2 linked regions of the Cricetulus griseus genome follow. The protein of the gene in region 2 purifies or fractionates together with the protein of the main gene of each other region. This does not show direct contact. Links are inferred from orthologs where the notes say so. Each region holds a gene or a part of one and is shown on either strand. Other genes may lie near its edges. The genes, in order: Edc3 and Pim1.

What was found.
Region 1: the proteins of Pim1 (region 2) and Edc3 purify together in Homo sapiens (affinity purification with mass spectrometry; 3 studies listed by BioGRID and IntAct, counting the BioPlex papers as one, with this or other methods). This does not show direct contact. The link is inferred for Cricetulus griseus from reciprocal best matches to the Homo sapiens genes PIM1 and EDC3.

What each region holds. Positions count from the first base shown.
Region 1 is NC_048597.1:169,351,826-169,356,198, reverse strand, and holds the start of Edc3 (enhancer of mRNA-decapping protein 3), read right to left. Parts: upstream 3,004-4,373; 5' UTR 2,931-3,003; exon of another isoform or gene 2,856-2,930; intron 1-2,855. UniProt on the Homo sapiens protein: Binds single-stranded RNA. Involved in the process of mRNA degradation and in the positive regulation of mRNA decapping. May play a role in spermiogenesis and oogenesis.
Region 2 is NW_023276806.1:257,962,792-257,967,177, forward strand, and holds the start of Pim1 (serine/threonine-protein kinase pim-1), read left to right. Parts: upstream 1-1,583; 5' UTR 1,584-1,820; coding exon 1,821-1,902; intron 1,903-2,025; coding exon 2,026-2,132; intron 2,133-2,229; coding exon 2,230-2,280; intron 2,281-2,400; coding exon 2,401-2,767; intron 2,768-4,252; coding exon 4,253-4,386. UniProt on the Homo sapiens protein: Proto-oncogene with serine/threonine kinase activity involved in cell survival and cell proliferation and thus providing a selective advantage in tumorigenesis.

The sequences.
Region 1 (4,373 bases), on a different chromosome or scaffold from region 2:
CTACAGATAACAGCACAAAATCTTTCAAAAGAGAAGGCTGGGGATGTGACCCAGCAGCGGAGGAGTATTTGCCTCGAAAGCACAAAATTCTGGTTTTAATTTTTAGCACCATCAAAACTTTTTTAAAAGTTAAAAAGCTGAACAAAAAGGGTTGGAGGGAAGGCTCAGCAGTTAAAAACACTGGCTTCTCTTTCAGAGGATCCCAGTTCAATACCCAGCATACACACTGATTCATGTCTAACTCCAATTCCAGGAGATCTGATGTCCTTTACTGGTCTTTTCAAATACTGCACACGCATGATGCACAGAAATACATTCAGGTAAACACTCATACATGTAAAAATAAAGTAATTTTACTTTTCAAGACAGGGTTTCTCTGTGTAGCATTGTAGACCAGGCTGGACTCAAACGCAAGTGTGTGTATGTTTAGCAGGAGATCAAACCCACAGCCTGTGCCTGTCCCTAGGCAAGCTGTTACTGAGTTACATCCCTAGCACAGGACAAATATTGAGGCATTCTTTTCTTTCTTTCTTTCTTTCTTTTTTTTTTTTTGTTTGTTTTTTGAGACAGGGTTTCTCTGTGTAGCTTTAGAACCTGTCTTGTAGACCAGGCTGGTCTAGAACTCACAGAAATCCACCTGCCTCTGCCTAACAAATTGCTATCTAGTTATAATCCAAATAAAAGAGTATCACTACACAGAAAAACAAACAAAAAATCCTAAGGCAGGGCCTCACTATGTAGCCCTGGCAGGCTGAAACGCAAGACCACCCCCCCCCCCCCCGCCCCCAGCTACGGGGTACTGTAATTACTGGTATGCACCATGACATTTGGTCATCCAAAATTTTTCACAGCAATCCCCCATAGAGCTATGACCTAAATATTACAAGGGGCTCCACTGTGTCTCTATAAAGGTGCTGCTATTCTGACATCAGGAAAGATCAACCTATGCTGTTTTAAAACTTCACACAAGTGGAATCACGCAGTTTCATGTGTCTGGCTTCCTTTCATCAACAGTACATCTGTAAAATTCAACTGTTGCATGAAGCAAAAGCTAATTACACTGTCTGTACTTTATTATTTAGGTATACCTCAATTATTTTAGCCTGTCTACCAAGATAAACAGCTGGCTTATTTTCAGTTCTAAGTTCCATTCTAAATAACTAACATTTCTTTCTTTTTTAAAAAAAAAAAGATTTTATTCATTTTGTATACAGTCTTCTGCCTGCATGCTAGCAGAGGGCACCAGATCTCATTCAAGGTGGTTGTGAGCCACCATGTGATTGCTGGGAATTGAACTCAGGACCTCTGGAAGAACAGTCAGTGCTCTTAACTGCTGAGCCATCTCTCCAGCCACCCAATAACTAACATGTCTACATGTGTTCTTGTTCATATTACACAGAAAAATCAGAGTCACAATTGTATTTGACTGTATTAGAAACTGCCAAGTAGAGTCAGGTATAGTGAAATACACTTATAATTGCAGTACTCCAGAGGCTAAAGCAACTGGGCCCAACACCCAAACCAATAATACTTGGTAATTAAAAAGCCAAGGCTGGTGGCAGCACAGGTCTTCAATCCCAGCACTCAGGAGGCAGATGCAAAAGGATCTTCGAGTTGCAGGTCTTTTGGGTCTACATAGAGAGTTCTAGGCCAGCCAGAGTTACACAGTGAGACTGTCTCCAAAAAAGGTAGTTCTTTGCCCAATACATACAACAAAAACAAAAAACTGGGTTACACCTCAGGGCTCCAGGTGAGATACTAACAGCTCGGGGTTAGTCATCTGTATTGTAGAAGGATTAAGGGCTCCTCTTAGCTCTGCAATTGGGAGACTGAAAATCAACTAACAAAGTTGGTGAGGGCTATTCCTCCAATACACACCAACACTCAAAACCACAGGTCAAGTTTTACTAACAAATGCAGTCTCATCAGAGAAAGGACTGACAACTGGAGCAGTGCACTGAGAGCAGTTAACCGTGGGCACTGGCAGGGCATCGGTATCCATGTCCACATCCCTGCCTGTCACAGTTAGCAACCAACCACCACGTGGCACTCGCACTCTTCCCGACTATTAACCCTTGTGGCCAAAAGGAAATGAAGCAAAAAGAAGTGGATGAGAGAGAGGGGGGGGAGGGAGGAGAGAGAGAAAGAGAGAGAGGGAGGGAGGGAGAGAGAGGGGGAGAGAGAGGGGGAGGGAGAGAGAGAGAGAGAGAGAGAGAGGAGGGGGAGAGAGGGGGAGAGGGAGGAGAGGGAGGGAGAGGGGGAGGAGGAGGGAGAGAGAGGGGGGACGGAGGGAGGGAGAGAGAAGGGGGGACGGAGGGAGGGAGAGAGGGAGGAGGGAAGGGAGAGGGGGAGGGGAGGGGAGGGGAGGGGAAGGGAGGGGAGGGGGAGAGAGAGAGTGTGTCGCTGTGGCAACCTAAAACGGCCCGAGAGAGATTAGACCGCTGTCGCCTCCCATCTCTCTATCTCGGGACTCGCACATCTAACCCAAATCCTTGGGCTCTAGACGTAGCCTGTGAGTACCCGATACGCGCGCGCATACAAACGATTACACACACACACACACACACACACACACACACACACACACTCACACACACGGAGTAACTACATACACACACGCACACAGAGTTCCTGCCTGCCAATCCTACGCGCACGAGAGAGAGAGAGAAAGAGAGAGAGAGAGAGAGAGAGAGAGAGAGAGAGAGAGAGAGAGAGAGAGAGAGAGAGAGAGTTCCTGCTTGCCAATATAAAGGTACAAGGCCTGGAAGCTCGCAGCCTAAAAATCAAACCGAGTGGACCACCCCGGAAGCGCCAGCCAAGGAGCACCGCGAACACCCGGCCTCCCTCGCGCTCACCTCCCACCGTCTACACCACACCACACCAAGCCGATCCCACGGCGCCAAAACACCACCAAGGGGCTTCACGCCCACCTCCACAGTCACAGAAGCAGCCGCCGCCGCCGCCGCCGGAAACGCCTCCGCGCCTTACAGACCTGAACTGATGTCACTTCCGTTGATAGCGTAATACGCCGGAGTGAGGAGGCCAGGGGGCGGGACTCCCGGGAAATTTGAGAGGATCGGCGTTGAGTGGAGCCATTGAGGGAGCAAACGAAAGAAAGTAACACTGCAAGTGTGGTGGCTAGTTTGTCTACTTGACACAGCTAGAGTTATCTGAAAGGCGGGAACCTCAATTGAGAAAATGCTTCCATAAGAATAAGATCTGGGATCTGGAGGTGGTGGCACACGCCTTTAATCCCAGCATTCAGGAGGCAGAGACAGGCCTGAGGCCAGCCTGGTCTACAGAGGGAGGTCCAGGACAGCCAAGGCTACACAGAGAAACCCTGTCTCGGAGGAGAGGGAAAAAAAAAAGAATATACGCAACTCTGTAAAGCATTTTTAATTAGTAATTGATGGGAGCTAGGCCCAGCCCATTGTGGGTGATGCTATCCCTGGGCTGGTGATCCTGGGTTCTATAAGAAAGAGGGTTGAGTCCCTGCGTTGGTGGCACACGCCTTTAATCCCAGCACTGGGGAGGCAGAGGCTGGCGGAACTCTGAGTTCGAGGCCAGCCTGGTCTACAGAGCAAATGCCAGGATAGGCTCCAAAGCTACACAGAGAAACCCTGTCTTGAACCCCCCCCCAAAAAAAACAAACAAACAAACAAAAAGAAAGGGTTGAGCAAGCCAGTAAGCAGCACTCCTCCATGGCCTCTACATCAGCTTGTGGATCTTCCAGGATCCTTCCCTGTTTGAGTTGCTGTCCTGACTTCCTTCAATAATGAACAGTGATATGGAAGTATAAGCAAAATAAACCCTTTCCTCCCCAAGTTGTTTTTCGGTCATGGTATTTCATCACAGCAATAGGAACCCACACTAGATAAGTTGGTACCAGGAATGGGATATTGTTGTTACAGACCTGACCATGTTTTTGGGAGGGTTGCTGAAGAACCTTGGAACTTTGGGCTAGAAAAACCACAGAATGTTGAGAGCTCAGTGAGTTGTTCTCAAGGGGCTCAGAAGATAAGAACACTGAGACCGTGCAGTTGATGGAAGCCTGGCTTGTGAAATTTCAGAGGGACGTTTAAAGACTGTCAGTACCATTTGCTATTTTTAACTAAGATTCTGTGGTTCTGGTTAGTTGGAACTGAAGAATCAGCTGTGATTAACAGAACTGCTGAAGCAAAACCTTTGCTGGGATACTAAATGCTGTTTGGCTGGAGCTGAGAAATTAATGGTCCTTAAGAAGAGAATAGCATTATTGAAGTGAAATCTGGGAAGTATCTCCTGAGAGTCAGCACGTGGTGATGGGGGGGGGTGGTGGTGGTGAGATTGCTTGGAAGTTAAAAACTCTTGTTGCTCTTCCACAACCATCCATA
Region 2 (4,386 bases):
TGGCCACTGAGAGTTCAATTTAGGGATTACACAGGAGGAGAGCTTACTCGCTCCACACGTCGTCATCAACTCTCCATGAAGTTTAAAAGGACAAAAGGGGAAAGCGGAATCGGTTGGCTTTCCGTGGTATTTCCACGTGTATGTGGGGACTTTCCTTTGAGACAAGGCTGGGGTCGGGGCCAATAATAGCTGGTATCGCCTGACTGCTAATACCAAGCCGGTGAGAAGGTGACTACCCGAGCAACCTCTGACTAAACACCGCGGCACCCTCCCACCCTGGCCGCGATCAAGAATTTTCCTCCTCCTCCTCCCGCCCGCCCTCTGCAGAAGGGGCTGAGGCAGCATCTGGCAGCAGAAAGCTAACATTTGTGTCGTGATTTCTTCTCTCTCATGCACTCGGACACGGGATGATTTCGGGAGGGATCAAACAGGACCTACCGCTACCTCTTAACTAATTACTTATTTTTTTCCCTGCATTTCTAAATCGAGAACCTTTATGCTCGGGTCTCTGTTGAGAAGCCTAGCTCGCCCCCACTATGCTCGCAGGCCTGCCCGTGACTCCTTCACTCCCTCGGTGTTCAAACGCCGGTGACTCACGTCTGCACAGCCTTCGCCCCCCAAAACACAGCCACCACCCCCAGCACGGCCCACGGAGCGTCGTCGTCACCGCGCCCCGGCAGCCTTGGAGGTCTGGGGGCTGAGTCACACCGGAGGACCACCCTGATCGGCGTCCACACACGCACACACGCGGTCCCTCCGTACGGCCTCCGCAACAACGCCCTTGCCTGACTCGCAAACTCGCTACGCTCCGGCTCCGGCTCCGGCTCCGGCTCCGGCTGCGGCCCCCGCCCCCGCCCCGACACACACCCCCCGATCCCGGAGAAACCCCGAGCCGGCGGAGCTGGCCTCGGGCGGCCTTTGATGGCTTTGTTATTGTTTGGGTTTGAATCGATACGCCCCTCCCTCCTCCCTCCTCCCTCCCTCCTTCCTCCTCCCTTCGCATCCTTCCTCTCCGGCCGCGCGCGCCACCCAGCTCCCGCCTCCCCGCACGCCTGGCGCCCCTCCCCCTCCGTTTTGGCGCCTTTTCCTTCCCGCCACGTCGTGGCGGCGTTAGCGACCATTCTGACCGCGAGGCGCGGGGCGGGGCGGGGGCGTGGCCTCGGCGCGTTTATGCAGATCGGCTGGCTCCTGGTTGGCTGGAGCCGCGCCCGCGGGGTGGGGCCGGGAGAAGCGGAGCCTCCGCGAGGGGGCGGAGCGGAGGGGAGCGGCCCTGGTTCCGCCGCCTCCCCGCCCCCTCTCCGCCTCCGCCGCGCCAGCCGGGCTCCCCGCCTCGGCCTCCCGGAGAGGCCCCGCCCCGTCCCCGCCCGCCGCGCGCGCCCTCCCCAGCGGCGCGCTCCGCCCCTTTACTCCTGGCGGCAGGGCGAGCCGGGCGTCTGCAGCAGCGGCCGCGGTGGCGGAGGAGGCTGGAGGGGAGTCGGCAGCGCCGGCGGCGGGATCGGCAGTAGCAGTAGCAGCAGCGGCAGCGGCAGCGGCCACAGAGGCGGCGGCCACAGCAGCAGTCGCAGACAGCAGCAGCCCTGGGTCCCGCGGCGCCACTCGCCCCGCCGCCTCCCGCACTGCCTGACCCGGCCGGCGAGCCCGCCCGCCGCCAGCGCCCTCAGTCGTCCTCTGACTCGCCCTCGGCCTTGCGCGCCAGCCGCAGCCCGAGCCGCAACGCCACCCGCAGTCTGAGCCCCGGCCGCCGGCGCAGCCCCAGCTCGCCCCGTCGCCGTTGCTGCTCGTCCCAGCACCGGCCCCACACCGGCACCCTGGAGGTGGGGATGCTCCTGTCCAAGATCAACTCCCTGGCCCACCTGCGCGCCGCGCCCTGCAGCGACCTGCACACTACCAAGCTGGCGCCGGGTGAGCGTCCCCACCCCACCCCTCCCCGCCCCGGGCGCGCGGGGCGCGGGGCGCGGGGGACGCCCGGGGACCCCCCTGCGCGGGCCGCGCGCTCAGTGTCCCGTGCCTCTGCTCCCTCCCTAGGCAAAGAGAAGGAGCCCCTGGAGTCGCAGTACCAGGTGGGCCCGCTGTTGGGCAGCGGTGGCTTCGGCTCGGTCTACTCGGGCATCCGCGTCGCCGACAACTTGCCGGTGAGTGGGCACCCCGCCTCGGGCAGGGCGCGCGCGCGGAGGGATGCTCTGGGCAGCAGGAGCGAGGTTCTGATGGAGACGCGGGGCTCTCTTCCAGGTGGCCATCAAGCACGTGGAGAAGGACCGGATTTCCGACTGGGGAGAACTGGTGAGTGAGCCCGGGCCCGCGACCCTCCCTCGTTCTGGGTGGCTGGCTGGGTGGCTGGGTGGTGACGGGCGTGCCGGAACCGGCGCGCTGACCCCGGCCCTCGCTCGCCCTCCCGCGCAGCCCAATGGCACCCGCGTGCCCATGGAAGTGGTCCTGCTGAAGAAGGTGAGCTCGGGCTTCTCGGGCGTCATCCGACTTCTGGACTGGTTCGAGAGGCCCGACAGTTTCGTGCTGATCCTGGAGAGGCCCGAGCCGGTGCAAGACCTCTTCGACTTCATCACCGAGCGGGGAGCCCTGCAGGAGGAGCTGGCTCGCAGCTTCTTCTGGCAGGTGCTGGAGGCCGTGCGCCACTGCCACAGCTGCGGGGTCCTCCACCGCGACATCAAGGACGAGAACATCCTGATCGACCTGAACCGCGGCGAGCTCAAACTCATCGACTTCGGGTCGGGGGCGCTGCTCAAGGACACAGTCTACACGGACTTCGATGGTGAGCCCTGCAGGCCCCGGGGAGGGAGGGAGGGAGCCGCCGCCGCCGCTGGCCTCCTCGGCTCCGGCCCTTTGTAAAGGTCATTGGGCCGCCTGGCTCCGTGCTGGCAGGGGTGGGGCACAGGCGAGCTTCCCGGCACACTACAGCCGGGGATTTCAAGCCGGTTGAACGAACCTGCAACATTTCTGGCGTGGTTGTAATTTTTCTTTTTTTTTTTTTAAGTGGAATTTTAGTAAATTCCATGCTTTCCCGTGAATAAAAAGTCGTAGGCAACCGGCTATAGCCCAGATTTCTAAAGTCTGACCCACTTTTCTCACCAGTAGAAGAAGGAGGTGGAGCCGGTGGTGGCGGGAGACATTGATGCCGGTTTTGTAGTTTGTTTTGTTTTGTGGGGGAGTTTTAAGGTAGTTCTTAGAACTGCATGCAGGTTTTTGTCTTGTTTTGTTTTTGAGGGTTAAGGAATAAGAGACGTGGTTTCACTACACTTGGGGGTGTTGTGGGGTGACGAAGCCTGCAATGTTGTGAAATAAGATCTGTTGCTGGTTTGAAAATTAGTTGGGTGTCTCCCGCAGGGAGACTGAAAACCTATCCTAGGGAGGGGCTTGGATCGCGTTCTTTCAGAAAAGGAATGGAGGGATACTAGATCAAAGCGAGAGGGTGGGTTATGATCTGAGTGGCTCACCCTGACAAACGACAGCCTTTCAAGACTTGTGACTGCCTTGTGGTTTGTATTTCTTTGCCAATGGAGGACGCAGGGTTGGGCTGCATTTTTTGTATTTAACAGTTAATGGCTGGCTGAGTCCTCCCTTGTGTGTGTTTTTTTTTTTTTTCCTCCCCCTGGGCAAGTCTTTGCTGCCCCCTGTTGAGCACCATGAGGTTAGCACTTTTTTACTATCCAAAGTTTGTAAACAGGAATCACGTGGTCTGAAACCAGCCCTGTAACTATGCCTTTCCTGTCTGGGGAGGAAAGAGTGTAGGTATACTGCTTTGCTTGCGCAGAACCCAGAGGAAAGCTTTCTGAAGGGGGTCCTCACCCGCTTGGGTCTAGATGAGAGTCTATTCTGGCAGGGTACTGGACAGGGTCTGGGTAGTTGAAGGCTGTATCTCACTGTGAGTTCTACCGCCTAGGGCCTCAGACTTTTGCTTTTCAGTGGCTCTGTTCATCTTTGTGACAGTTTGTAAGGGATTTCAGTTTAGGGTTGAGACTGGTGGAGAGGTACCCTGTTTTGGAGAGGAAAACAATGTATTTTTAAGTAAGCCAAATAAATGGTGGTGGCAGACACCTTTAATTCTAACATTCAAGGCAGAAGCAGGGTGATCTCCAAGTTCGAGGTCAGCCTGGTTTACAGATGGGCTTCCAGCACAACCAGGGCTACACAGAGAAACTCTTGTCTCCAAAAGAAAATTTTTCAAAGAAGCTACTCAGCTTAGTTGCTTTGTTTATTTTTGCTAACATAGTTTTCTTTCAATTCCCTCGGCTGGCAGGAACCCGAGTGTACAGTCCTCCAGAGTGGATTCGCTACCATCGATACCATGGCAGGTCGGCTGCGGTCTGGTCCCTGGGGATCCTGCTCTATGATATGGTCTGTGGAGATATTCCATTTGAGCATGACGAAGAG